Drosophila melanogaster: one gene and its partner. The protein of the gene in region 2 interacts with the protein of the main gene of each other region in a pairwise test. Each region holds a gene or a part of one and is shown on either strand. Other genes may lie near its edges. The genes, in order: IPIP and CG42788.

The links.
Region 1: the proteins of CG42788 (region 2) and IPIP interact in a two-hybrid assay, tested with the Drosophila melanogaster proteins (one large-scale study listed by BioGRID).

What each region holds. Positions count from the first base shown.
Region 1 is NT_033779.5:6,040,444-6,056,014, forward strand, and holds IPIP (inositol phosphatase interacting protein), read left to right. Parts: upstream 1-7,558; 5' UTR 7,559-7,666; coding exon of another isoform or gene 7,667-8,200; exon of another isoform or gene 8,201-8,250; 5' UTR 8,251-8,433; coding exon 8,434-8,494; intron 8,495-8,567; coding exon 8,568-8,903; intron 8,904-8,970; coding exon 8,971-9,189; intron 9,190-9,630; coding exon 9,631-9,905; 3' UTR 9,906-9,995; downstream 9,996-15,571. Other genes in the region: CG31643 (uncharacterized protein), read left to right, coding at 1-170, 226-421, 481-688; Pfas (phosphoribosylformylglycinamidine synthase), read right to left, coding at 871-1,568, 1,632-3,908, 3,985-5,074; slmo (slowmo), read right to left, coding at 6,610-7,257; CG34179 (uncharacterized protein), read right to left, coding at 7,296-7,337, 7,691-8,200; CG9135 (uncharacterized protein), read left to right, coding at 11,235-11,579, 11,637-12,218, 12,279-12,815.
Region 2 is NT_033777.3:15,125,181-15,140,676, forward strand, and holds the start of CG42788 (uncharacterized protein), read right to left. Parts: upstream 6,747-15,496; 5' UTR 6,428-6,746; intron 5,680-6,427; exon of another isoform or gene 5,574-5,679; intron 1-5,573. Other genes in the region: CG6912 (uncharacterized protein), read right to left, coding at 10,005-10,198, 10,319-11,212, 11,292-11,351, 11,530-11,599, 11,662-11,745; CG3984 (uncharacterized protein), read left to right, coding at 11,982-12,093, 12,154-13,485, 13,555-13,724; CG3987 (uncharacterized protein), read left to right, coding at 14,867-14,881, 15,157-15,496.

The DNA of each region.
Region 1 (15,571 bases), on a different chromosome or scaffold from region 2:
ATTCATTCAGCGAATCGAGGATGAGATACAAGTATGCTACTCAAAAGCAACGTATCCGGAGAGGGTCCTTAACCTGGTTATGCAACTGAATCGCACAGTATGCCTGGACTTTCCCGAGGCGAATGTGCCCTGGTTTCAACAAAACTACATCGAGGCGCAGATCAGCAAAAGTAACATATAACTACAATTCTGTATTAGGCGTTCTTTATCATATTATCTTTTTAGAATCCTTAATACCCAGTGAGTCCACAACAGAGGTGAAGCAGCTGCTGCATCAGCTTCTTCAAAATGACAAGCATTTCCGCTGCAACCACACTACACCCTACGGCTACCAAATAGACTTTGTGATACATTTCGATCGGGATAAAAATCCCATCCCAGCACCTCCCGTGGAGGCAACCATGTTGGATCGCATAACCAAGTAGGCACACAAATGGAAGTTACCTTATTCAGGTACTTCATTAATGACTCCAATTTCAGAGTGGCAATACTACTGCTCAAGCTCGACTCTTTTTGTGAAAACGATCTGACTGCATTGCGGGGTCCTGAATCTTTGAAGATGCGACATCTAGAGATGATGGGCTACAAAGTGATGCAGATCAACGAGCACGACTGGAACTCCAAGTATATGGCGTCATCAACAGCCAAGGCCAACTACCTTAAATGCTTGTTACAAATTTCACATTAGCTTTCATTTCTATTCGTTGCGACGACATTACTCATAAGTACGCTTATTTGAGTTTTAAAGTTGTTTGAGTGTTTAAGTTTATTTTATAAAAATAGTAAACAAATTCGTGTATATAGTATTTAGATATATCAGGTCATAAATGCCAAGAACCTATTTAACTGCTTTCAATTCATCTAGAATATCTATTGATTCGACTTGACACACCAATTGTACGCGTTGTTAAACATAATCTGCCAAGGACTTTCCGATTGTGTGGGGGAAACTTCGAATGAAGATGGCACATAGGGCCACTGGTACATGGAGGAGCATCGCTCGGGATGTGGCATGAGGGCCAAGTGACGTCCATCCGACGAGCAAAGGCCAGCAATTCCCTGAGGACTACCGTTCGGGTTAAGTGGATACAGTTCCGTCGGTTTGCCTACATCATCAACATATTGCAATGTCACCAGCTGTTCCGACTGCAAGTGGCTAATGAGCTTCTCGTCGCGGAATGCAAAGCGACCTTCGCCGTGAGCCACCCAACAGCCAAGAACCAGATCCTTCATACTTCCGAGCATGATGGAGCGATTGCTTGGAATCTTCACGGTGGCCCAACGACACTCGAACCGCTGCGATTTGTTATGGAGCAGGGCCACGTCGGGATCTGCGCCCACCTCGCTCTTTGCACTGCCAACAAATCCTATAAGTGTCATCAGCTGGCAACCATTGCAAATGCCCAAGGAGAACACATCTTGACGACGCTTGAAAGCCTCAAACTGAGGCAACAAGCGGGGATTGTGGAGGATGTTTGCTGCCCAGCCCTTGGCGGATCCCAAAGTGTCCGCATAGCTGAAGCCGCCCGGGAAAATTAGTCCGCGGTATTGGGACACGCTTGCGGTGCCTGAAATATTAAATTATTTGCTTTAGTACTTCCCCCTTTATTAGAATTTACCATTGAGTTTACCTTGAAGAAGATCCGACATGGTCACATCGTGCACCTCGAAGTTAGCCCTCAGCAGGCAGGCCATCATCTCGCGCTCACTATTGACACCCTCCTCACGGAGCACGGCCACGCGAACTGGGGCGGAGGATCGCTTGAGAGTAAGCTCGGCCTGCACATTCTGAGGTCCCCTATACTGAGGTGCTTGGCGATACTCAAGGCTATTGTACTCTGCCTCGGCGCACTCAGGGTTGGCCTGAAGCTTTTCCAGCTCGTAACTGGTTCTCTCCCATTTCTTGTAGAGCACACGGAGTGGCTGGTCCAGCAGCTCTGACTTGCCGTTCTTGAGTACCACTCTGGAATCCAGTCCGAATCCCTCGGTCACGCCCAAATAGTAGTTTGGTACTCCTGCCTTTTCGTAGGTAGATCGAACTCGTTCCAGGTCTGTGTCCAGGACTTCCACCACCCATCCACACTCCTCGGCGAAGAGAACAGCTAGTTCGGGACGATTAAGTTTCTCGACAGACTTATCGAAGTTCTTGAGCTTGGCCAAGGGCTCCGATAGATCCACTCTAAGGCCACTCAGTCCTCCGATGGCCATCTCCAATACGCAAACAAGCAATCCTCCGTCGCTGACATCGTGTCCTGCTTGAATAAGTCCATCTCCCAACAACGATTGAGTCACAGCAAATGCTTTGCCCAGCACATCACTCCTTGTCAAGTTTGGCGTATCTTTGCCCTGCTGCGCGTATGCCTGAGCCAGAGCCGATCCACCTAGGCGAGCGCTGTTCTCCAGATTTATCCAGAGCAGGGAAGTCTTCGACCCCGCGCCGGGTCCTTTAAGATCAGGCGTTACCTTTAGCCGCACATCCGGACAGGGAGCATAGGTGGAGATGACAAGAGTACCCGGGGACTTTATTGTCTCACCGCCCACCTTAGCCGCCATGGACAGGGAGTCCTTTCCGCCATCGATGGCGATGTGAAGTTCCTCAAGAATCTGACAGAGCTCCTTGCAGGCGTCGAACATCCGGGCACCCTCGCCGGGCAGCTTTGCAGCCCACATCCAGTTGCCAGAGCACTTGACATCAGCCAGTTCGCTGATCTTTACAAACACAAGGTTACTCAACGCTTCAGCCACACACATCCTGGCCATTGCGGCGGGATCAAGCAGTCCTTTTAGTGGCTGTGTACCAATTGAAGTGGCGATTCCAGAGTGACTAAAGTGGGAGACGGTGGTTAACGCGTAGTCCGCTAGTGGAGCTTGGAGCGGTCCCACGCACTGTTGCTGTGCAATCAATCCACCGACGCAGCGATCCACCTTGTTGGTCAGGAAGCGCTTGCTACCGACTGCCACCAAGCTAAGAACTCTCTCCAAGGCCTCGTCCAGAAGGAGACCTTTCGGCAGACTCAACTCCTTGAGCGGCGTCTGTTCGCGTTTCAAGTCGTACGTTCTCTTGGGCATGTCGCCCAAAACGTACTTAAGTTCCAAGTCGAACGGTGAGACTTCGCTGCGATTGGACGCATTCAACGCCTGTTCCAGATCCTTGGGGGCAGGCTTCTCCAGCAGCGTTACTCGCCCATCTCCGGTCACCACTCCCACGAAGCTGATGGGACAGCGTTCACGGCGGCAGATCTTTTCCAGCAGTTCGCGTTGATCAGCGTTGCAAAGAATGGCATTGTTTTCCTGGTACTCGGCACCCCACAGTTCGAGGGCAGTGATCGTGGGATCGCCGAGTTGGAACTCCTTGGAGAAGATAACAGCTCCGGCAAAGCCTGGTTCCACTAGCTCCTTGAGGACATTGCCGTTGCCGCCAGCCCCCTGGTCATGGATGGCTAATATGGGGTTTTGCTCGCCCAGGTCTAGACAGGCTCGCACCACACGGTTCAATTTATTCTCCATTTCGGCGTCTCCTCGCTGTACGGCATTAAAATCTAGCTCAGCATCTCCGGATCCTTGTATCTCCACAGAGCTTGCGGCGCCGCCACCCACTCCAATCCTGTACACTGGGCCCCCGATCTTGGCCAGCAACTGACCGCGTGCCGGCGGCAGCTTCTCGCGCATGGTAGCGGGCATGGTGCCCAAGCCACCGCTGAACATGATCGGTTTCACGTACTCATCCCGCTGGCTGGCATCGGCAGCACTGTTCAGTCCATAGGAGAGGGCAAAACCAGAGATCACTGGCTCGCCGAACTTATTTCCGTAGTCGGAGGCGCCATTGCTCGCCTCAATGAGCACCTGAAGTGGGGGCGCAAACGTCGCAGGGTATTTAAAGTCCAAAGGCTCGTACGGCTGTTTGTAACCTGCGACGACAAGAAAGTCGTGATGTATAATAAAAACTAATAGGAACTAAATACTCAAAAAAAAAGCAATGCTCACCTGGAATGTGAAGAGCGCCAACACAGTAGCCAGCGGTGCCGGCGATCGGCACGCCTCCTCTGCCCACGCCCTGGACATCACGCAGTCGTCCGCCAGTGCCGGTGGTGGCTCCGCTGAAAGGCGCCACTGCAGTGGGCATGTTGTGGGTCTCCGCCGTGAAAATCAGGTCAGACTGCACGCTCTGCAGACGCACTGCGCCGGGAGCGACCACGGAGGACGGAACTATGGTCTGGTGATCGAATCCCACCATGGCACTGCTGTTGTCGCTGAACTTAATGGTGTTGTTCGGGTTCGTGTGGGCCTGCGTGTCCATGATCATGCGAATCAGCGACTTGGGCTGCTCCACGCCGTCGATCACCATACGTCCGCGGAAAAACCAGTGGCGCGAGTGCTCACTGTTGCTCTGGGCGCAATCGAAGAGCTCCACAGTGGTGGGATTGCGGCCCAGCTCCTTGGCAAACAAGTCGTGGTAGTAGTCCAAATCGTAGTCGTTGAAGGCTAAGCCCAGCTCCTGATTAATCCGCTCCAGTGCCGCCCTACCCTCCTCCAAAACGGGCACGAAATGCCAGTTGGCCTGGCGCTCAGGTAGCTGCTCGTCAAAGCTCGCCTTGGGGGTATTCTCCTCGGTGTACAAGCACTGGGTCATGCGGTCACCGAGCAGAGGAACAAACCTGGCTGCCTCCGGCGCCTTTGATCCCTCGCCAAAAGTAACCAGATAGCGGGTGGAGGTTTCCATGCGACGCACCTCTGAGTACCCGAGATTCTGGAATATGTTCACGCAGTTCGTGGAGTACGGCGTGGAGAAGTTAAAACGCGGCCCGATCTCCAGGAGCAACTGACTCGACCCAGTTGACTGCAGGGCAGGTTGCCTGGACAAGCTCTGGCCTTTGCTCAGCGGTTGCTTGACCAGCCACACCAGCAGCTCGTCCAGGGCCAGTGAGTGCTCTGCCTGAGCGCTGTACTCCAGATGATAGCAGCGCTCCATGCGCACGGACACCACGGCGCCGTCTTCCTCGCGCAACCGACGCAGGACACTCTCCTCCTCGGCCGCGGAGTGGGCCTGCACATCGTAGTAGCGAAGGATGACCATGTCGTGGGGCTGCAAGAAACGAAAAATGCGGATTGAGTACAGACAGTGTGCACTCCTTGCTCGTCGAATCGAGAATGATCTTGGGAGTTGCGAAGCGGTTGACGACCAGTGGGTCCGTGCCCACGCTGGGGGTTATCAACTGGCGGCACCTATACCACAGCCACACAGCCCACAACCCACAGCAGCGGATCAGGTTACAGCCGAGCGAAATCGATGGAATCGCCTGCAGCAATCGCTGCACTGGCGTCACAACTTGTTTTTGTTTTTCCCCGGCTGGGAGTTTGCTGATAAGCCGGCGTAAACATATTTTCCATTACGAACGGAAACCTGCGTTGCTGAATGGTCGGAATTTAGGTAAATAATTAACGCCAAATACCCCAAATTGAAGCACAATAACACTAACACTGAGCGGAGCACACGTGCGTCTTAGCTGCAAATTACGATCGTTTTGAGGCTCCAGCTCGGTTTCCCCTCATTTCGCGGCTCAATCCACCACAGCGTTCGGTTGGCCAGTGCTGCACAGCGACTGCCGCTGGAATTCAAATTAACCCTTAGGCGAATTGAGCTTTAAAAGCTTTCGTAAATTGTACCCATTGCGTAACTTGCAAGGGTTAATGCTACACGGGTTCAATGAACCAAATAGTTTAATTGTAATTCGTAAGGATTACTTGTTTATTTTGATTAAAAGCTTACGAAAACTGCTAAATAAATAAGTTACTTCTTTTGATAAGTTAGGTAAAAGTATTTCACCTTGTCCCTAGAACACCTGCTGTTTGATCATCAACTTGTTTCCAAGCACCCACTTTCCCCTTCAATCACATTCTTCGCAACTGTTGAACCAGATAAGGGACATATCAGTTTCCATGTCTGCGATGCTAACTAGGTACACAGTTGTTGAGCCACTAGGCACGTGGGCTTTTGATGATAAGCGAATAAAACAGACGCCAAAAATCGCTAATCAAGTATGTATGTAGAGAAAAAACCCACAAATCGACTTTCTTGGGTTTTATTTATACACAGAATGCTTAAAATTGCTGCAGTTGCACATGCGAACGTCATGCAAATGCAAAAAAAAAAGACGCAGTACAAGTGTGCTGCGAATTAAAATTAAACAATTGAACTTGACACTGGCTGGTCGTAGGCAAATATGTCGTTTAATTGCTCCTCTCGTTCTTCGAAATCTGCGGCGGCTTACAAAGCTTACATTGACTATGTACTTTAGGTTTATATATATATTGATCTGCATGAATGGGGGCCAGCATTAGCGCGAGTTCCTTCCAGTTCAGCCATTCGGGGGCACTTCTTTATCGACATGACTCATTAGCAGTCGATTCGTTCGAAGGGGAGTAATAATTATAAAATATATGCATTGAATGGCTTGAGAATAGAGGAAGGTGTTGCTGTCCCACATGTTGCTGTCCATGTCCATCGTGCCATCGATTAATTAGTTGTACTAAAACGACGACCGCGCGCCATCTAAATAATTCACTAGTGAACAGCCCCCGCGCGACCTTGCACTGTCGCCTTGTCGACACCTACGTAATGTGCATCGCCTTCGCCGCCTTGGCGGCCTGCGCACTGATCTCGTCCATGCTCTTCCGCGCGCTCTCCGTCACCTCGTCGATGGAGCGCCGTGTGTTGTGCAGAAGTTCGTCGGTGCCGCGAGCGATGCCCTTGACCTCCGTGTTGATCAGCCCGATCACCCACTCCAGGCCCTGGCGTCCCTTGCCGGCATTTGTGCTAATGGTCGAGGTGAGCAGGTCCTCCATGTAGTGGGACAGCGGCACACCAAAGACGGTCACGGTGGCCTCCTGCTTGAGCAGCGTCTTGCTGGCATCCGACGGATGCGGCTCATAGTAGAGCACCTCGTCCACGCTGATGTTGCGGCAGAAGGTGAGGTTGTTTGTCTTCAGCACCATCTGTTTGCGCTCCGGGTCCACCGTGGAGCGTTCGCTGGCGAAACAAGTTTTGGCCGTGCCGATCAGCGCGTGCGTCCACTTGGGGAAGTACCACTTGGACTGCACCAGGCGATGCGTGTGCAGGACGCCGTCCACCACACGGCGCTCGACCACGTCCGTGCCAATGATGGAGGGCGTCATCGGATTGGGGTACTTGCGCCACGCCGCCTGCGTGACCGTCTCCCACGGGTGGTTGAATATGTGCTCCGATGTCCAGATTTTCATTATGCAAGCGCCGTTGTCGTCACCGTCCGGGGAGGGCTTTATATCCTTAATTGGCAGCCGAGATGCGGGCTGAGCTGAGCCTGCGGGGGCAGACGGAACGGAATTAAACAGGGGGAGCGTTAGCTGAAGTACACGACTCGAATTTTGACGGCAATCTCGGAATTATTGAATATTTCCGAGACAAGTTACGAGAGCTGACCTTTACTCGTGCTGTGCTGCTAGAGATGACAGTGGCTCCGATAGATGGGGCTATCGCTGGCCAGTGCATGGGCTAGGGTGGTCACACTGGCGCAGTAAGAGAAAATGAAAGTGCCGCAGGCACCCTGTAGCGGTAACTTATTTATTAAATTTATAAACTAAATTAATTCTAAAAGTAATGGCGGCACTTTGACATTGCACGTGCAGCTTCCTATTGCGGCCCGAAGGTACGTACGTATTTCTCGTAGGGCCGTTTATCCAATCGCTGTAGTCGGCTCTCCACGAGCTCCCGAAAGTTGTGTATTACCTCGGCATCCGCCTCGATTAGTTTCCTCTCCTCGTTGATGATCTCGGCCAGCTGCTCGTCACTGTCCGCCGCCGCCCGACGTGACACCGAGCCCTCCAGACGAGTGCTGATCTGGTTGACTATCTTCTCGCTCTCGTAGTCCATTATCTTGGCCAGCGCCTTGGCCGGCGTGCGCCGCGCATAGCGTGACTCGGGTATGGTGGGGGCATCCAGGTACGACTCCTCCTGCACCGCCAGCGTGTGCGGCTCCTGCTGTTGCGCGTCTTGCTTCAGCTCCTCATTTGTGTACTCAATGAATTCCTGCAGGGAGGGCTCATCGGGATGCGTTTCGCTGAGCGTGGAGTTGTTTTGAAAATTGGTCAGGTGGAATGTGCCATTGGTGTCGTAGAACTTGTAGCCCAGCATCTCCAGCGCGATTTCCGTGAGTAAGTACGACATTTCGCAGGATTCAAAATTCGTTTATGTTTGCAATCTACATTGAAAACTAGAAATTCCGCACCCAGCAATCGATAACCGGTGGAGGTGTGGCAGCACTGGCCATCAGCTGTTCGCGCAGCGTCAATTGTTTCTCGCTTTGCATTTTTTTTACCTGTTCATCACAATAATAAGAGACGAAAGGCGGAAATAGGACACCCATATTTGCTTCGAATGCAGCCCGAGACAGTGCAGCCATGAAGATCAACGAGAAGAACCTGTACGTGTTCGCGAGAACGCCGCCCTTCGACATGGAAGGTATGCAAGCGAGCCCTTTCGCTCGTCTATTAATAATCATAATCCATTTATCACACACCGATACGCCTTGCAGGCTTCCTCAACAAACGGGGCGAGGTCAACAAGGCCTTCCAGCGACGCTACTTCGTGCTGAAAGGCAACCTGCTCTTCTACTTCGAGTCGCGCTTGGACAAGGAGCCCTTGGGCCTCATCATTGTCGAGGGCTGCACCATTGAGCTGTCTAACGAGGTGGACAACTACTGCTTCGAGATCGCCTTCAACGGCAATCGCACCTACATCCTCGCCGCCGAAAACCAAGACAGCATGGAGACGTGGATGAAGGCGCTAACATGCGCCGGCTACGAGTATAAGCGCATCATCCTGGCCGAGCTAAAACGCCAGTTGCAAGAGATGGAGGACGCAAGAAACAGTGAGACTGCACAATGGCTAATCCTACAATCCCTGTGCACTAATCCGCTGCGTTCTTTAACCTACAGAGATGCTCGGCAGCGCCTTGGACGGACCACAAAATGCATCGGAGAGTGCGAAGCCTAGACCGCCGCCCAGGCGGACAAATCCATTCAACAGACCCGCTCCTCCTCCACCAGACAGTTCGCTGAGGGGCGGAGTAGTCATGTCGCCCCTGCCATTTATCAACGGATACTTCGGATCGAGCAACGCGCGCCTGCAGCAGGAGAAGCTAATGAGCAAGCAAGGTATGAACACGTACTCTTAAAATGGATGTACAATGCTGTGGGTATAGTAATGCAAAAATTAACTGAACGGAAGTGACCAAATTGAAAGACGAAATGAATCACCATGTTCGGGGCTTTGAGTTTTAAAAGCTAATTTTAAGTGGGAAACTTGGCCAATAGATAACCGCAGAACTACAACTTTGCCTAAATACAATCATACGGCATTTTTCGGCCCCAAAGCCAGCTGTTTGTTTGTCCCAATACAATGTGAGTCTACCGTTAGTAGAAGCTAGAGATAAGAGCAGAGTGCTCTCAGTATAATCCGAACTTCGATTGCCAGCTTATCGTTGCCATTTACCCAGAGCCGATCTAATTTAGTCAGCGGAATGCCACTAAGCGACATTCTCTGCAAAATCTGTTGCATATTCCCAAAGCCAGGCTACAGGCACTTTCTACTTGCAGACGCAAACGGAAACGGAAGCCCCAGCGGAACGCCCAGGGCCCAGCGCCGTCCCACGCCCGCTCCTGCCATCGCGAACAGCGTCTTCTATCCCGATGTCCGGGATCCGGGAGCGGCCAACAATAATCACAGCACCGTCAACGGTGCTGAGCGCCAGCGTCGCCAGGTCAAAGCACTGGAGGAGTTCGCACGCAACCACGAGCGCTTTCGCAGGGAACTGATGCCGGATGTGTCCGCTTACCGCGAGCGCCAGGGTCAGCCGCTCATCCAGTTGTGATGTAGGAGTGGGCTGCTCCGACAAAAAGCCAATGTATTACCCGTTTTGTGCTAAATCAAATACGTTTCAAATGAACTATGCTTAATTTCCATACATGTTTGTTTCAATAAACAAAACTTTAGATATAACAAATTTCGGCGATCATGGCGCACTCAGTTATGTGGGCATACTAATAATTGGGTTTTTTAGGTTATTTGTTAGAATTGAAGGACTAAGTTGGTTTTAAAGTTAAACATAATGTTGGGATTACTCAAATGGATAACTTAAAGAAACCTAATTTTTGGATGACAAAGTTCTACATATGAAAGAACAAAACTTTTTTTGTCCAAATGAATAGACCACATATTAATTGTTATTTAGAACATAATATTTTTTAAAAATTCGATAGACACAAAACCCAGTGTGAACGGCGAAAATAATCGATAACTGCTAAGAAAACAAAAACATCGACGTTGGTTGCTTTGTGGAAACATCGATAATCGCGAGCAGCCATCGATACATGTTCCAGCTCTGTAACCTAGCGTTGTTGTTTGTAATTTAGCTGTGAAAAGTAATTAAGCCGCACACAGAACTGTAAGTTCACCCGCTAGATAAATATATTTGAGTAAAAGAACACAACCCGAAATGGTTAAAAGACTGCAAGAAGTCAGCAAACTTATTTGATTCGTTGAAGCCGTGAAATGTCTCTGTGTTTGTAAAGTGACGCTACCATTTTAAAGGTGAATTTTGCGCCGGGCATTGTCTTTTCTGTAACTTCGGCATGGACTTTTTTAGTTTGAAAGCCAAAACTATGAACACAATGCGTAGTTTTTCGGGTATCAAGAACTCATTTATCAAAGGCTAGGAATATTCACTATATCTGTTGGCGTCGCTTGCTGCGGCTTTCATTTTGTTTCTGTGCAAAAACCACCACACAAACACAGGGTCACACAGACGCGAGCACAGCAAACACACACCACCAAGCGGCCGAGAGCGGCTTGGTTTTGGACCGTTTATGCGAAGCTGAGCTCATGAAAACCGGAATTACCGTTTTGAAAATTATGTTTAGTTGATATTTTGAAACACTATTTCCAAATATAGAAATACATAACGTAAAAACGTAACGTGTTTTTAAATTTAATATTACGACCCTTCCTACTTCGATTTCACGTATTCAGCAGTTCATGAAGATTAAAACATAAACACAGTGCGCGCTACGCTCTGCTGCGTGTGAAGTTTGGTTCCGGTTTTCAGGGCTTGAACTTATCTTCTACATTGCTCCCTTCCAGCCGCCGAGCAGAGAGATCCAGACCAGTCCAGTCCACAATACAACCCAGTACTAGCGAGAAAATGTCGGCCAAGCGAAAGGCAGGTGGCAATGGAGCCGGACCCAACAAGCGGCGACCCAAAAAGAAGGAGTCGGACTACGAGGACGAGTTCAGCGACGAGTCCGACGACGATGGCGTGCAGCAGCAGGCAGCGGCCGCCAACCAGATGGAGGTTCTCATTCCCCACGACGACCTCGACCCGCCTAGCAAGCTTCCCGAGGACTTGCTGGCCACGCTAGAGAAGACTCCAGGTCAGATGCTGATCGCCGGCATGGTGACCTGGGACCTGACTGGCAAGCGGGACCGCAAGAACGTCACGAAGGTGCGGCCGAATCTGTACAGCTTCCATCGGTTCACAGAAGAGAAGGTAAGCTATTCCGCACAGTCGTGGTCCACTTGATTTCTGAGTTCTTTTCTTTCGCAGTACCGATATGTGGCCAGCGGACCCAGTGCCGCACACACCATTCTTATCAACATGGACCGCAAGGCGCTCGGTTTCGGGCGTAATCCCAGCGGCCAGCTGGGCCTCAGCCAAGACATCAAGTTGGCGGAGAAGCCCACCATTATTCCGGCCCTCGAACAGCTGAACATAGTGCAAGCTGCTGTCGGCCGGCACCACACTCTGTTTCTCACTGACACGGGAACCGTATACGCCTGCGGCGAAAACAAGTCCGGCCAGTGCGGTGTGGGAAATACGCATGCTAACATTTATTCGCCCACGCCAATTAACTACCGAGGTCCGCCGATCATTCGCATCGGTTGCGGAGCTGAGTTCTCTGTTATTCTGGACATTAAAGGTAGCCTGCACACATTTGGGCTGCCGGAGTACGGTCAGTTGGGACACAATACTGACGCCAAGTACTTTGTCAACGCCAACAAATTGTCATTCCATTTCGAGACGTCGCCCAAAAAGGTCGTTTTGTACATAGAGAAGAGCAAGGAGGGTCATGTAACGCCAGTCGATGGCGTGCAGATAGTTGACTTTGCTTGCGGCAATAATCACACGGTATGTGGATAATCTCCATTCCCCACTTATTTCAAGTCTAAACTACATTTTTCTCTTCAGGTCGCCATCGACTCCAAGAAGCGCGTTTATAGCTGGGGCTTTGGCGGTTTCGGGCGTCTCGGACACGCAGAGCCCAAGGACGAAATGGTGCCGCGTTTAATGAAGTTTTTCGATACTCAGGGTCGGGGTGGGCGCAGCGTCTTTTGCGGCTCCACTTTCAGTCTGATCGTCAACGAGCTGGGCCTGCTGTTTTTGTTCGGACAGAATAAGAAGACGGGCGAGGCAAATATGTACCCCAAGCCAGTGCAGGATCTTTCCGGCTGGAACATTACCGACATTGGCTGTGCCAATACATCGATTATGATTTCGGCCGACGACACACTGATCGCTTGGGGCGCATCGCCCACGTTTGGCGAGCTGGGCATTGGGGAGTTCCAGAAGTCGTCGACGGTGCCCAAGGAGGTGCCAAAGTTGGACAACATTAAAATACCTCAAGTGACTATGGGTTACTCGCACACGGTGTTGCTTGTGGACACCACCCATGAGGCCACCAAGCAAAAGTACGAGAAGATGCCCGAGTACACTATCGATGATTAGGTGATTAGATGGTGTGCGGCTTTCCAAGTGCTGCTGCAAACACGTTTACCGCTGCCAACAACAATACTGCTCCATGTAGGAAATTCTCAGAACTGATCATCGAAACTCTGCTGCTACTTATCGAAAGTGAAACTAAACACAAAAATCCAGCAAAATGTATGCTATAAGTTAAAAGATTATTATTACGCTAAACTCGCTATCTACATACTATACGATAATCTCAGAAAACGGAAAAAAAAAGTTGATTATGTTTCCAAACTCTAATTTATTCTTGTAACTGATACTATTCCATCCTGATCCTGTTCCCCTTTTATAATTTATTGCCGCCCACCTTTAGGCTTAAAAAGATGCATAAAAAGCATGATTACCCATTTTTAATTTTTAATTTGTAATTTAAACGTAACAAGTTACAGTATTCTGCATTCATTTCGAACAGAGTGAGCAAAAGCAACCACAAAACTACAAAACACGTAAATTAACGAACTAAGCGCATAGGTTACATATAAAAAGTATACCATGGAAAAATCCAATACCAGTTGCAACTATTAATAGTACATCATGCATTTTAATCTTATACAAAGGAATATTTAAATAAAGAGAATGTTAGTATTTAGACTGCACTCGTTTATCACTGGCTTTTCACTGAATGGTAAACATTAAAGCTACTTATAGCTGGCACACATATTTCCTATCGAGCAGGAAACTTTATGGAGGTTTGACTGTAGAGCGGCGAATCTAAGAACAAATTGGAATCAAGGATTAGCCGCACTGGGGTAGCTGTAGGTCAGTCCGCCAAGGGATGTTTGGCGGTATACCCCGATTTCTGACCTGTGCCGACTGAGTTCCCAGGCCCAGTCCCAGTCCCAGCCTTGAGTCCTCAGTCCTGATGTCCTGCCGATTGAAAGCGAAAGTCAGAGTGCGGAAAGCTCCGGCGCAAAGCTCTCTCTCTCACTCTCTCGCCGAGTCTCTCTGCTCTCTCGCGCGCGAGGACTCTTGACTTCGGAGTGCGACTTTGCGGCCGGAGCTCCGGCGGATTTTTCCCTGACACAGTCTTCCGCCGTGGTCCTGTCGAGTAATGTGCGCCGCTGAGGAACAATCCCTGCACGTCGCGCCTTGAGTTTCATTTTACCTTTTTTTCGCCCCCACCCCACCCGACACTCATACATACAAACACCGACCGCACACTCGCACACAGACACACACACACACGCGCACATTTGACAATATCAACAAAATAGTTCGAGGAGTTTTTAAAGCGTTTTTTACAAGTGTACGGCGATTCATTCTGCACACGAAATACATATTTGCTAAATTAAATATATTGAAAAGGCGGCACAGCAACGATCTAACTGTAAATTACAGTGCCTTCCATACAAAGAAAGCGCCGCAGAACAACATCGAGCAGCAGCAGGATCAGCAACAAATGCCTCAACACACTTCGTTAAGGATAACACGGTAGGACATTACGTATACGCAGTGGGGGAATCCTTGTTTATGCACATGTATATATGTGTGCATGTATAGGTTTGTTTGCGAGCGTATGTGTGTGCGTGTGTGCAACATTATTTTTCGCTGTTGTTCCACTAGTTATGGTGTCCTTTTTTCGGATGTGGGTGTGTGATTGCGTTGCCAGCGACCATCGCCTGCGAAACTAATTAGAAAGTGTCCTGCCCGAAATCCATTCACCAAATGGAGCCTAAAATTAAGGAGGGAATTTCATTTAAAAAAAAAGGACTATAAATTCCTTGTATAATTATTTCTCATCGCGCAGATACAAAGACTTGTTTGCTGGCCATTGTGGCGGTCACGAATAGGCCAACGAACAAGAAGCCTGGACAAGGACCCCCGGCATCCCCGACCATACCCATCCGTCCGTCCGCCTAATACGAATATAAAAGCTGCTGAAATCAATAAAGACAGACAAAAAGCTACGGGCTGGCTGACGTTAAAGCCAAAGGAAAAGAAAGGCAGGCAGGGCGCAGGGATGTGGATGTGGCTGTGTATCCTGCGCCTCGGCCAAGACAGGACTACCGCCCCCCAAACCACGGCTGTGTGTATATCGTATCTGCTTGTGGCACATTAAGTCACCTGTGGCGGACACTTTTCATATCGGCAGCAACAACAATGGCAAATCTCGTCATCATCGCTTTCTCTCGCTCACCTACCTCATTGGCTCTCCTGGCGGGCACATCCTTGTGCCCCATAATCCAGCTCCTACCCTCTTTCATCCTGGCTTTTGTCACCTTTTGAGCTTGTTGCTGACGTTTGAGTGACGCAAATTAATACATACACAATTCGTTTAGTTCTGGGATCGCCGCAATCCGCTTGCCAGCAAAAGTAGAGAAAGAGAGTAGCCCCAAGTCGAGAGCCTTCAGAATCACCGCCTGTCTATCCAAAAAGGCGTCAGCAGTCGAATATGCTAATTTGTGACTTGCAAAATTATTCCGCCCGATTTGCTCCACCACCGAATTATTTTTGTGGGGGCGTGACTTCAATATAAACAAAGATCAACACAGAAATGCTCAAGGAATCCATAAATCCATCGAGTCAGATGTGAAGAGGGTTCAAAAAACGAGTTAAGTTAAGACCATGCTCTTTAAACATACATATATCAAGTGTATGCAGATTGATGCTTTTCTCTCGGTGTATCGTTTATAGCAAAATATGTCTGTTGTCATTAAAGGTGAAGAGTGTGTTTTTGGGGCTTCAACTGCAGGTGCTGTCCTTTAAATATCAACAAGGACGAGCAAGGACTT
Region 2 (15,496 bases):
TAAAATATCGTAGTACCCATTATGCGCTAGAGTATCGACCATGATGAAAACTCTTTTGCGAAACGCTAACAACGATAACAGCTTCCACCTGCATGTCCCACCAACAAAGCCAAAGGCAATGTTTTCCTCTTGTTTTTAGTTTTAGTTTATCCACGACTTCTCCCCAACTATTTCAGCGACGTTTGTGTCTCGTTTTTGTTTTGTAATTTATTTATAAAATCTTTCCCCCTACACACAACCAGACCAAAAGTTGAGCAGAAGACGCACCCAAAGAAAAGCAAAAAAAAAAAAAAAAAAAACTAAACTGACACCGGAAGTTGTGGCTGCCTCATCTTTGGCTCGTCTGGGGTCTTCTGCCCAATCTGCATCTTTTACTCTCCTTCGGAAGCCAGACAAATGCTTTAGAGACAAATTACTTGATTTGCATATACTTATATACACTCTCAACCGAAAAACCTCTCAACATTGTCAATTTTTTTGTACTTCTACACGCTCTTCACTCGCTTGATTCTTATTTTATGGAAATTTATCAAGAAATTGTCGGAGGCGGGATGCGGGCGGGTCGAGCGCAAATTTGACGCGCAGTGGAGCGCAGCAGGAGAATAATCAAGCAAAGGGAAAACTCCCAGCTTACCGCCCCTTTTCCCAGCTGCGCTCCACTGTCAGTTGGCCAAGCCGGCTTTACTTAAGACGGTCTCCATTCATTCATTAATGCCCAAAAGCAGCAGCGACGCGGGATAGACATCTGCAATACCCAGATACTTTTTATTACACGACTCCCGCTCCGCCGGCGAAAAACATTGCACCAGCATAATCCCAATAAGACGTTGATTCGGCCTGACGGACTAGATGCCATTGCTCTAGCAACGATTACAGCAGCACCAGTTATACAGTACACCAGTTCCACAGTACACCAGTTGCCCAGTAGCAGCGGTAGCCAGAGTGCCCAAAGTTAAAGCCAACAACTGTCGCCTCGAATGCACAGTGGTTCAAGGTCGTTGGGGAAACGATAATGCCGACAGATTTACGGTGAATGGATCAACAGATGGTTTATAGATTGCACGCATTGATGATAGGTTTATGAACAGGCAAAGAATTGGGAATACTGATGATTGTTTGATGGGATCAACAGATGGGCGGCGTATATATGTATATATAGGTGTGTATATTATCAACTACGGTTTAGAAACTTAAGTTTATAAATAGCAATAATCACATGATTTGTTTTATAGGTATTAAGCAGCTAGTTTGCAAAAAGCTCATTTTAATTATTTTGCTGATTATTAAAAATTACTATTACTTCGCCGCATTGCCGTTATCAAGCCATTTTAATATTTCAAATAATTAGGTGGGCATATAATCAGTGGCCTAGAGTGGGTAATTAAGGAAAACTAGTTTCCACAGATGAGGCATAATCTGAATGCGATGCCTGACTGATGCCCTTAACAGATTGAAATATAAGTAATGCCAGGCGGCGCCTTAAGGCTGACTAAGCAAACTTTTCCAGACCCAGTTGCTATCAAGCGATGATCAGGTGTAATCCGATCGTTTATAAATAGTCTGGCGTAACATCGAAAACAATCTGCGCTGTTTGGAGCACTTAATCAGGCGGTAACATCAACCTGATTATGCAGCAGGGCGCCATTACTTAAGCATCATAGGAAATGAGTTCATACATTTTCAGATCACTTTTCTACCAATGTGCAATGGTACAATCGTAAAAATGTAGGGAATTAAGTCAGTCAGTGACTGTGTGTAACAGTTAACTGAATTTGTCTCTTACCATCTCGTTTGAGCCCAAAGTTGCACAACCGTGGCGGGGAAAAGTGGTGGAAAATCGGACAATTGGGTGAACAAAGGGGCGGCAACGGGGATCAGATGAAAGTCTTACTCAATCCAAGTTGCAGTCTGGGGCAAAAAGTAAAACTCAGTTTGAATGCAGCGCAACTAATTAGTTTTGAGGCTGCTTTTCTTGCTGCTGCTGTAATCGCAGTGGGCCACAGACAGCGACAATTTTCCCACTGAATTTTCACTTTTTTTCTTTACCCGCGCTTGGTTCGCTACGTGCCCGGCTAAAGAAATCAAAGAAAAACGAGTTAAACAAAAGAATTTATGAGCTACGAAAATCTTTTGGCCCCGCTGGTGGGAAAAAACGGGTGGGGAAAATGGTAAAAATTGGAATATGGGATGGGAATGGGTGGGAGTGGCAAGCAGTTCTATCTTTGTTATTTTTCCCATTGGCATCGTTGTTTTTCCCAAACAAAATTTCCATAAAAGTACATGCTGGCAGTCGTTGAATTAAAATATTTAAATTGCTTTGTCAAGCCAGATATAAAGCATATTCCTTTAAATCCAATGTGTACATACGCATATATTTTTATTTAAGTTGTCTAAAAGATCTCAATTAATTCCTGCTTGGCGCACAAACTAAATGAATTACGCTCCGACCAACAGAAACTTTCGGAGATTTATGATTTTCGAAATGAAATATGGCTTTGGTAGTGCAGGATTTCTCTAAGCTAAAATATTGTTCTCCTTTCAAAATGTGAACCGAAGGAAAGGCCAACGAAGCTTGTAAAATTAATAGAAATTTATGGTTTTATGGGTAACAGCTTACCTCAAAAACTTGTTACACAATAACCTTTAATTATATAATATTTAAGAAGTATAAAAATAAACAAAAGCAACAAATAGCATTTAATTGATTTTAAATAGGCTATTTTAAGTGATCGAAAGATTTACTCCGAAGATATTAACCAAATTGGGAATCCCACATATATCAGGAAATTGAACGTGCAGAAATGACAAATCAAAGTAATCGATGACCCTCCACAAGGGTATCAAATGGATGCCAAATGCCTTTACGATTATATATATACTTTTTTTTTATTTTATTTCGGATTTCTTTGTCGCGACTCTGGCCCGCTAAAATTCAAAATCATGGCCATGGCTCCTAGCATGCGATTTCACGTTTTTCGTTATTTTTATTTTTTTTTACGTCTTATGGTCTTTTAGCCCCACATCACAAGTAGAAAACACAATCACAAACACTCCGACCGAGAGACACGCAAATAAATAAATAAACATGGCTGAATAAATGAATATTAAATGGCCAAAAGCTTTGACCAAAAAGCGAAAAAGTGAGGAGGTAAATAAATACAAGTAATAATGGGAAGATAATAAACAAAAACGATATTCGATACGCAAATGGCAGCTAGTGTTTAAATGTTTGCCTGGCTTATCAGTTTCCTTTTTTTGTTTTGTGTTTGGGTTTTGGCATTTGTTTAGCCGAAGTCCGCAGCGGAAACTCAAAGCCTAGGCGCATGCATCCGCAGAATGCGTCAAAGATATTTCGAATTTTGATTGACGACGACAAAAGATTGGACGCCGACGTCATCCAGCAAATATTTCAAAGCTTGAATTTGAACTTCGGGCTTGACGTTGATATTTTTTTCTAATGCCTTTGCCGCCCACGTACGCGGCTAAAGATACAACAGCAAAAAGATACAACTGCGATAGATACTTCTATACACACACACATACATGTACATACATTTATTCAGGCGGGAGCGACGAAACCGCGAGAGCGGAAGCAACTACTTCGACAGCATAGAAGTGTGTGCGACCCAAGGGGGCGTGGCGGGAGGTGGAAACCGGGGGCGATGTGCGAAAGGGGGAGTGACAAGCTTTTGCGGTTTTTAGTTACACCGACCTCAGCTTGTTTGTCGGTACAGTGGGACGAATCGGAGTAAAATCCATACAAAAATATTATTATTAAAACTACTGAATAAAATAATACAACAAATAAATAAATAAAAAATATGAAATAGGTAATATAAGAACATAGTATTAGAAATTACGCATACGTAATACTTGAAAAAACCAAAGAAATTGTTAACATCAGAAGAGACTCATTTTGATTGTCTTAGATAATAAAGATATACCTAAGATGAAACCAAGCTAAAGAGCGGCAATTCCTATATTATTGGTTATCAAAATTATGCCTAGGTATCAATTTATCGCAAGCATCGTCAATCATTTCTTGATACTAATTATTGCATATCAGCATTCCATTCAGCGTCACTTTGTCCCCACTGTCTTTTGCCTTGCGCTATTGTCATTTACTTTGCGGCAAGCAATTACATGCGACAAGCCGAGCGGCAGTTGTTTGTTGTTGTTTTAGCTGTTGCTGCTGCTGCCGTTGATATTTGATGTTTGCAGCTTATGGTTTTTGTAGGCGTGGCCCAGTTTATTGTTGCTGTTGTTGCCGCTGTCGCAGTTCGCCACATTTGGCCGAGAAAATTGATGTCATGCCGACTTCTTTCTGGGCTCTAGCGCGAAAACATGCGTAAAAGGAGCTGCGAAAAGACAACTTCTCTGTCCGACCCAACCCGCTGCGCCCCCAACATGCCACACGCCCACTCTTTGTGTACTTAATGGCTGGTGAAATTAAAATGCCTGCGCAGCAAACAAACATGCACAAACTTTTTCGGCCAGCGAAGGGGTGTGGGTTAGGGTGGCACGATATGTATGTTGGTCGAGCAGGCCACAGCATGGAATAATATTTTTGGCATCCAAAAGTTTTGGTTATCTTAATTGAGGCTAATTTCAAATGAGAATAATATTAAAGCTTTAATTTCATAAAATCTAGTATTAAACTGTTTATGGAACGGATCAATAATGTGCTCTTAAGAAATTCAATCAAATATATTTTCCGCTTGGTCCCAAATCAAAGTATTAATTTGGTTTCATGTAAAAAGGGGGCATCAACCAACTATGGGTGGTGAGTGTTAACGGCGGTGGAGAGGCTGGGAAAAGGAGGGAGCGAGATGGGCTGCGTTTAACAGCGGCGTTGGCAGCAGCACTGGGCGCTTGGCATCTGTCAAACGTGTCATACGCAAAATAGCTTAACTGTCATAAAAACAACAAGTGCGTCAGGCACCGGAGATCGTAAAACGCTTTATTACAATACCCCACCAATTGGAGTGGGGGTACGGCAAATGTGCGGCGACGTTTATGTCTCACAAGTGGGTGAAAGGGGACGGAAAGGAAAGGGAATGGATGGTGGTGTGGGCAAGGTGGGCGAGAGGTAAACACTCGAAATTGCACAGGAATTCCTTGGGCGGTGTTTGTTGATTTACATAATGTTTATCTTTTACGTTTTACCCGATTTGTTTGATTTATTTATGAACTGACCCCAAAACCGACAAGATTTCTGTGTTCCGCGAAATTCTGTTAATATAATTAGTTCACACAGTGTGGATAATATTATAATGACCTTTCCAGCGTAAACTTTTAGATGGCTATATGGATTTAGATGGATATATAAAATATCAATTCAAAGTAAATATAACATCCCCATACAATTTGCAATACAAAATCGACCGTATTTTGGTTTAGTTAAACATTTCATCTATTTATTTCAATTTACCTATTTATTTACTTTCCTCCGCTTATTTGTTTGATTCTCTAATTTATTTATTTAGTATTCTTCCCACTCTCTTCCCCTCTCCCATTTCACCACTTATTTCCGTTTCCTTTCACCCCTTGCCGCTGCGCCATCTTCCTCTTCTGCTGGTCAGAACGCCAACGCCTCGCACAAATACACACGGCCATAGTTTTTTGCTCCATGCACATGGCTGTGTGTGTGTGTGAGCGTTGGGGGTTTTAATAATAGCGCACACACACATTATAAAAGCTCCCGCTGGAGCAGAGAAATGTTGCACTAAAAACTTCAACGCCCGCACTTCTGGCACATATCAAACAGCAAGCAGAAATCACAAAAGCAAATACAAAACTTTCTTGCCAACACACACACTCTCACATTTCGCTTCCCTTTTCAGAGAGAGTTTGTGGGCGGAAGAAAGGGCTGCGGAGGCGCAGGCAGGGGGCGGGGCGGTACTGCCACAATAATAGCCTTGTTGTCTGCGGCAACAGTTATGAAAAGTGCGGAAAAGAGAGGCAGACACATAAAAAACAGGAAGTTTGTTGACTTTTTTTCAATTAACACAAGGGACGGCGAGAAAGAGAGAGAGAGAACAATTCTCTGCTGGGGGAATTGCACAATTTATGGGCTTTTGCACTATGTAAACAAATGCTTATACAACAGTCCCCTATGCTGTTTATTAAATATGATTTTAGTTTTACTTTGCTTTTGCTGTATTGTGTGCGTTTTTCGGCTATTTGTTTAATTTAATATTCTCAATTTGTTGATTTCCTACGATTTAACTTTAACTTTCATGTTCATATTATACTTTTATTTTTATTTATATATATATTAAATAATTTCCACACATAGTTCATTTATTTAGTTTATATTACTTGATGAAAAGTTGAAAACAAAACCCCAACATAAATGCAAATCAAATCGCACGCACACCTGCAACTAACACCCACTCGCACACATACACATACGAGTATAGCGTACCTCTCACAACAACAATTAGTTTGCACCAAAATGCACTGGACGTCGCTGCTGCTGCTCCGCTGCGTCGCTGCTACTGCGCTATAGCCGCCAACGCCGCCACTTTGTTGTTGCCTTTGGGGCTGTTTTACCTTTGTATTTGCAAACACATAAAAACACACACACGCACTCACTTGGCGGCGCCGCTTTCTTTACACATTTTTCAAGCAAACTTTTTTCAAAAGCACACAGAGAGGCAGAAAGGCCCGCTAGACCGCTATTTCCGATTCCAGTTCGAACCCGAATCGACGACCGTCCCGCTCGCGATGCAAAAACACAATGAGACTGGCGCGGCAACAGCTGAAACAAACCCCAAGTGTTATCGATCTATCGACGAAGTGTTATCGACATTGTATACCCGCTATCAAGTTCGGTGCGTGTCTCTGCTAAGTTGGGAGTGTGTACTAGCTATTTAAGGGTAATTTGAAATTCGAAACGGGGACTTCCCGAAAAGGTAATAAGCAGTAATTTAATTTTAATTTAATTTATTTGTGCTTTATCCCTTATATATATATGTACATTTCATTAAAGCTAATGGTATAATTAGGTATTTACAGTGTTTAGCTAAGGCTTTCATCTGAAATATTTATTAATTATGTCTAGTTGACCTGTTTTTAGTTTTTTTTTGTATAACAATATTTATTATTTATTAAGGAAAACAAGGGAGAAGAAAAACCTTAATTGACTTACAACTAACTTAAAAACTAAGACTTGAAACAAAAGATTGTTAATATTGTATTTTTTGTTGAACTTTTTGTACACCTGCTTTTATATGTAGGTACTTAGTGTTTGTGTAATAAGGTAAGTTCATTATTAATTTTAACAGCTTGTTTTGGCATATTTGAAGTTTTTTGATATGAGTTTGAGCACATCTACCCCAAACAGGTGACCCATACATTAATATTGGATTAAAAATTGTTTTAAAAATTATGATCTTATTGGATATTGATAATTTAGATTTACGATTTATTAGAGGGTACAGTGTGCAAATAATTTTATTAACTTTCATAATTGTGTTGTTGATGTGGTATTTAAATGTTAGTTTTTTATCAAAAATTATACCCAAATATCGAATGTTGTCAACCCATTGTATTGGAGAGTCTAGTATTCGCAACTGTCTATCAGGAAGATAACGAGGTTTCCTTCTTTTTGTAAAAAATATATGTACAGGGAGTGTAAGCTTGGAGTGATGTATAGGTTTATGAGGGACTGCTTTAAGAAAGGCATAATTGATTACTCTAGTGAAAGAGCCGATTAAATTATCAATATCCAAAGTCGATATCTGTGAGCAGTTGACAACCACCTCTTCAACCATCAGCCTTTCATTTATAATTCTCTTAAAAAGCGCCCAATTTGCCCTTCCCAAAATCGGATATGTTTTTACATTGCGCATAAAATTTGTAGAGTATTTAATAACCACTGGTAGGTGATCAGAGGAAAGCTCTTGCATTACTGCTGGATTAGCCAGCTGGTTAGGGATATTAGTGAGGCATAGGTCCAATGTTGATGCTTTTGCTTTATGGTTATGCGGAATATATGTGGGTTGCGTAGGGTACAAAATACTGAATTTTCCCAGATCTGAAAGTTCATTGAGAATTTTGCCCCAACCATTGGCTCGGGTACACTTCCATGCTCTGTGGCGCGAGTTGAAGTCCCCGCAAATTAGAAAATTTCCATTTATTTGTGAGATCTTAAGGAGATCAGATCTATACAAACTTTTTAAATGATTATGGTCCCAAGATAAATCACATGAACTAGGAATACATTTTGAAGTATTTCCAGCAAAGTAAATAGAGTAAATTTTTAGACTGGAATTAGAGTCAGTGTTGATTTGTATACCTACATTTTCAATAACATGACTTTTAATGCAGGGTATTTGTTCATGTATCAATGTGTTACTAACTGCAATGGCAACGCCGCCTCCCCTACTTTCCTTCCTGTCATTTCTGTATATAGTGTATTCGGGTATATTAAAACGGTCACTATGAGTCAGCCACGTTTCATTTATAAGTGCTATGTGAATGTGATTATTTTCTAAGAACTTGATCAGTTCTATACGTTTGTTTCTAACGGCACGAGCATTCCATGCCATAATATTCAAATTATCAATAAAATTATTTGTTTGTGTAAACATACTTAATCGCTAACTGAGAAATTACTTGAAATTGCTCTCCCTTATTGGAGCATTCATTAAATCTTGTTATTAATTCAGACAAAAGAGAATTTATCTCTTCACATGAAAAGAGATTAGTTTCACTTGTGATATTTGCTTTGGGATTAGGCAAAGTATGAATATTGGTGAGTGCATTACTATAGCTACCAAAGTTGAGTTGTTGCACTCTCTTAGTTTGAGTAGGCAATGAGATCTGGGGTTGATTTCCAAAGAGAGCAGATGGAGCGATGTGTTGCTTAGAATTCCTCATTCCATGAGCTTCCAAGTTATTTCTTCCAATGCGTTGTGATGAGCGTTTGGAAAGTAAATTGAGATAAGAAATTCGGCATGGGCATGTCAGTTCTGTCGATGGATGGTCGCCTTTACAGTTAGCGCATTTTTTGTTGTTTACGTCCATACATACGGCAGTCTGGTGTGATCCAGCACAATGGGCACATGATGTTTTAACTGAACAATTATTTGATCCATGTCCAAATAGTTGGCAATTGTAGCATTGAGTAATTTTATTCTGCAATTTCACTTTATACTCCCAGCGTACTTTAGTGTGGTTGACATACATAAAGTTTTTGCGCAGTTCCTTTACTGTGATACTTTTGTTTACGAAATAAACAATGTACAGTAATAATTCATGATCAGACTTAGTTTTCTTTTCCACAATTTTGACTTCGGTGCATTGTAATCCTAGGTTTTGTAGCATGGATTTGACAGTTTCAATTGGTAGTTTATCCAGCCCGGATAAAATGGCTTTGTATGGCTTGTTTGATCTAGTATTGTACGTGTAGAACTCACAGTTATGTTCCTTGAGTTGGTTACAAGCTGCATTGAAACAGTCCATATTTGGTAAAAATATTTTAATTCCAATTGAGATGGTTTTAATAAAGTAATCATCAGTTTTAATTTTAGCCATTAGCTCGTGTACAAATTTTGTATTTTGTTTAATTAATGTTATAGGAGGTGGCTTGATTATTATTTCATCAAGTGTGTCCGTTTCAATAGGTTTATCATCATTATCATCGTCTAAAGTTTGTAGTGGACGAAAATAATTTGTAAATTGCTTGGAGCCCCGTTCGTTCTGGCGCTCCACTAGTGGTTTATTCCTTTTAGTACGCATTTTTTCAACGGCAGATGCTTCAGCATCGCCAATTGCATCACTTGAACGTTTGATTGTAGTTTTTTTGCGAATATCACAATTAAAGAAGAAAACAGAAAATATTTAATGTACACCAAAATGTTCTCAGAGAGAATAGAAGATTTTACATCCGCGTTCGACAAGAGCTAGTCGAAGACTGTAATAAGCAGTAATATTAACGTCTTTCTATGTAAGTTAAAGTATGTTTATTTAAGTTGCAGAGAGACAAATTGTTTTAGCTAATAGCACTTCTTGTTGCACCAATCCCAGATACATCCGTCCATTGCATTGCAACCAAATTCTCCAGGATAAATGCCACAAAAGTCCTCGATATTCATGAAGGCACAGCTTCCTTTGGGACAGTAGTAACTGTAGCAGCCCGGTGAGCACTTATCCCGCTGGTGATCCTTGCAGCCGGAGCAATCCAAAATGTCTGTGGAAACACAAGATTGTATTAATGATCCTGAAATACATTTTTTATCCTTATCTCTTCGATAAGTTCGTTAAGCAGATACTCAATGTAAATAATAAAAGAAACGATTTGAAGACTCACCGCTCTCCTTGCAATCCGGCGTGCTGCACGCCAGAAGTGGAGGATTTGGCGGCATGACCACTCGTTTCGCGTTTTCGTCATATACGACCTTCGGTGGCTTGAGATATACCACCGGGGCCGTGCAGACTCTGGAATCGCAGAACTTATTCTCCTTGTTGGAGCACACCCAGTTGGGCGCATAGTTGATGCAGATGCGAGGGCTCTTTACAAAACAGCATTGCGGTGGAGGATGACGCCCCGGAAAGACTTCATTAGCCGCCGACTGTTCCGTAGATGGCCTCAAACTGGGGTATATCCAGGGACGTCTGGTTGTTGTTGTGGCTACGATGTTATCTATAGTATAGTCATAGCTCTTGTCGTTATCGGGATCATAGGGTGCGGATGTAATGTACTCCACACGATTTATATTTTCGCTGGTCACCGAGTACTTGTGCTCATTGTGGATCACATTGTCAATCTCAAGGATAGTGGTGATAAATCCCGGTTGTTGGCAGCGTTTTTGATACCACACGGTTCCCGCTGGGCATGCCAATGAAATGCAACGGCCAGCCTTATATTCACCCTCCGAACAGACGATTTTCCTGCACTGCGAGTCGAAGTAAATCGATCCCGGTGGACAGCGAGTCAGTTCTGTAATGACGGGAGGCGCAGTTGTTGTTGTTGTTGTTGTGGTAGTGGGCTCTGTTGTTGTTGTTGTGGTAGTGGGCTCTGTTGTTGTTGTTGTGGTAGTGGGCTCTGTTGTTGTTGTTGTGGTAGTGGGCTCTGCCGTTGTTGTTGTGGTAGTGGGCTCTGTTGTTGTTGTTGTTGTTGTCGTAGTAGTAGTGGTCGTCGATTCAAGCGGGCAAGGCTCAGGATTCGTACGATAGCATAGTTCATCAATGCTAAGAAAGTATCCTAAACAAAATGACAACGAAAAAAAAAAACAACAAAAAATCTCACGAATTAAAGATTTATAAGTTTTTTACTAAGTTACCAGGCCCGCACGTTTTGTTAGTCTGTGGATAACATTTTCCATCCGCTTTCAATTGATATCCTAATGAACGATAAAACCAAAAATAATATAATAATAATACATTGGTTTTTCATATACTTTTTTAAAATTATCAGTTAAAGCATTGAGTAGTTCTATAAATAGTCATACACAGCTGCTGATTAAATTGGGCACCATTTTTGGTACAGCGAGATTAACCATTTTTTCAGAGATTTCTTACCTGTTTGACAAACGAAAGAGCTTTGCCACACGCCGTTGACATCCTGATATCCCTGCGGAGATGTCGGCTTCTAGGGGAATATATTTGTATAAGAATAGACACCAATCCTCAGAGTAAACCACATTCGGTTACCGCGATGTATGCTTGAGCACTTCCGCAAGGCACAAGGGTGATCAGGCAGGCAACCAGGGCCGATCTGAATGACTTCACAAGCATACTGTTTAACTTGCTTGCTGATCCGGGAGCTGAGACACAGATTCGCGATGTACGGCGGTCCGCACTAGGCGAGAGACTAATCGAAGCGACGCTGAGCTCGCTGGGATGCCTTTGGAAAGCATAATTGCTGGCGCTGCGATAACCTTCGTGTTCCAGATAACGGTGAAGGTCGCTTGGGCTGCAGCTTCAGCCGTTCCTAATCCGTCACCGGTGAGCCGGGATCAGTTCGAATCGAAATGTCTGACAGTGAAGTGGGTTTCCGTGTGCAACGGCTGCTGCTGTTAATCTGTCTTGGACTATTTCCCGCGACGGTTATCACCAATTATACACCAAATCCCTGCCAAAATGGTAAGTTCGACTTGGAAGCGTTTATCCGTCAGTCCACTGATGACATCATTCACATCTTAGGTCAGGTTAATGCTTATATCGTTTGCAGCCCCATTATTTTGAATATGTATAGTAACCTGTGCGGAGGTCAAACGGGGATTCAATGCAATCCTTCCAATCCTGTGACTACTGTTGTTCCTGGTACCCCCGGTTGCCCTAACACTCCTCAATATCCTACAGTGGTTCCGAATAATCCATTTAATCCCAATGTAAATGTTGTTCCTGGTACTCCCGGTTGCCCCAACACTCCTCAATATCCTACAGTGGTTCCGAATAATACATTTAATCCCAATGTAAATGTTGTTCCTGCTACTCCCGGTTGCCCCAACACTCCTCAATATCCTACAGTGGTTCCGAATAATACATTTAATCCCAATGTAAATGTTGTTCCTAGTACTCCCGGTTGTCCCAACACTCCTCAATATCCTACAGTGGTTCCGAATAATACATTTAATCCCAATGTAAATGTTGTTCCTGCTACTCCCGGTTGCCCCAACACTCCTCAATATCCTACAGTGGTTCCAGATAAGCCACTTTGTCCCAATACACCAACAACTCCAGCTTGTCCCAATGCCAATGGTCCGAGTTCCTGTAATTCGAACGGCCCATCTTCGTATCCCACGAACGGTCCTAGTATCAATGCTCCTTCCCCAACTTCTCCACCAACTACCACTCCCCCAAGTGTTACTGAGCAACCAGCGCCTGCACCTCCAGCAAATCCAACACCACCACCTCGACCGATCCCAGTCCCAGTCACTACGCCGCCACCGGATCCCATTATCCGGTGTCCGGAGGGAACAATTTTGGTGAAAGGTGTTTGCCGTCTACTTTTCTGCGGGGAAAATAGCTTGTACATCGAAGGACGCTGCATTCAGACCCGCTGTCCTGCTGGATATGTTTGGACGGGTATCCGGTGCTCGAAGCCTCAGCCATTGGAGCTCGGTAACATCCACATAGAGAACACTGTCCACCAGCTCCCAGGAGCTCTGCCCCACCTGATCACCAACAATGTTAACCACGTCATGGTAAACGCCTCCATCACAATCCCAGAACAAGCCTCCGAAGAGGAAGAGGAGCTGGTGGAAGTGGTGGCGCCACCACAGTCACCCTCAAGCCCCTGCTGCAACGTATTCGCTCCGCGGGTCTGCGCCACCCAGGCGGGTCAAGACGGATACAAGTGCTTCAGCAGGAGTCATCATCAGTGCGGTTCCGTCTGCAGTGCCAGGAAGGTGATGCTCGCTCCGGCCGCAGTAGCCAGCTGGACTCAGTCCAACAGCCAGATGGTGACCATCCCTCCCAACTGGGCGGGTCAGGCCTGTCAGTCCAATAATGGGATTTGCCAGCAGCCCCAGAGTGAGTTCAGTAAAGATAGTTGTTACATGCAAAGTAAAGTCCAATTTCATCGTTTTTTGTCCACTTTAGACTTCTACGACTGCAGTGGCTGTGCTATGGGTAACCTTTCGACCTGCTCCTCGTACTGCTACTCCTACAAATGCAGCACCCACAACTGCGTATATTACGACCAGGCCCAATACTGCTCCCAATATGCAGGTCAAACCGGATGCCGTGCGGAAGATGGATGGATGGATTAACACTCGCCAAGCGCAAATTATTGAAAACGTGCTTATCATTATGCAATCAATACCACTCAAAAAACAATAAAAAAAATAAAGCAATTAATAAAGAAAAACAAATTATAATAATCTTTTTTATAATACTTGAGAGCCTTTTTGATAGTTAAAGCCTCTCACAATTCCGTTCAACCTTAAACTTTTTCAGTAATAGTTTTGTCGTCATAGGGGCCATAGTGTTGATGTGATATTTCCGAATATTCAATTCTGAGCTTAAAATTGTGGAAAGCGGATGTGTCTATAATTTAGGTTAATGTCTTAGACAATAATTATTTGTGTAAGTGTACAAATTATAATAGCATTTATCTTATCTCCAAATATCGACTGATGATTATAAATTAAATGATAAGATTAGATTACCCTACGTGCTTCAGCAGAGCTTAGCTCTTTTCTTGAAAGCTCCAATACTCTTACATTAGGGCGGGGATAAGCAATATGTAAGTGCTCTAGTTAACTCCTCCCTTACTGTTTAATAAGAGTGTCCTGATTGACTCAGAGTTAATAGATGGCTCATTGTTTAGAAGTTTATTAGCTGCATTATTGCTGGTACTATGTCGGTTATCGTTCTAGAACCTATGGTTGTACGACTGCGAATTTTGAAAATTTATCTATACAGCTATCTATTCTGGAACAATGTTTTGTAGAGCGATAAAAGCTCTTTTGAGTTTCACAGCTTAAAGAAAATTTTTTTTTTCAGATTACCGTAACAATATTGGAAAAAAGTGGCACCAGTATATCAGAGAATAAGTCATTCATCAGGGTCTGTTTATGTTTTGGGGATGCGTAGCCTTCACTGGCTTGGGAGATTTGGTTCCTGTTGATGGATTTTCCTGTAAGTAAATGAGTTAAAAACAAATATATTGAATATATTACTTGTCTTAATACTTATGCCCACTAGTGTATTTAACCTCTGATTTCCAAATTGAGTGAAAGCTTCGCTAGTAATCAATTCTTTGATAGTGTTATCTAACCTTATCTTCGAAGGTAGGTTCCAGGTGCCGTGATGATGATGGTGCCATAGCCTCCACTCAACCACTGCAGTTCACACTGCACTTTACGCATAGCCGGTCGTCCCAGAAATTTGAAGAGCCAAACAGTTGATAATGGCACATTCAATGGTGAGTTACCGGGATCAGGAAAGTCCTGGAATTCGCAGCGCTTTTAAGCCCCAATAAAACAAAATTTCTGCAAGTATTGTTAATATTTTTCCACCAAAAATCAGCAAAAAAAAAGTTTGTACTTTAATCTAATCATGTGTACAGAAAAATGTCAAAGAAATTGATAATGGTTTTCATCAGCGATGAGTAATTTCTTCGACCTATTAGCTCAATTAAAGAATAGGGGAAAAACACAAATGCAAAAAAATTAATTGAGTTTTTAACTATTTTCGCAGCTGAAACTGGGGATGATGTGTGGAATACTCCACCTGCTGACCTTTGGAGTCATTGCCGAGGATCAGCTGAAAAACAACACAATAGTGGTACATACTCCTCTCCAGAACTACGATCAACCCAATCTCCAGGACTACGAGGAATGCCAGGTGAACAGGGACAATTGCATCAATGTTTGCGCTGGCAAACAGTCGTGCGAGGACGAGTGTCCTGTGTGCCCGGACCTGTACGTCAAGCCCCTGATGGTTCAGGGCATTAACGATACGAATATAGTGGCACCACCCCAGGTACCTATTAATACGACCAACATTATTCGGCTGACCAACGATATCAACAATATAA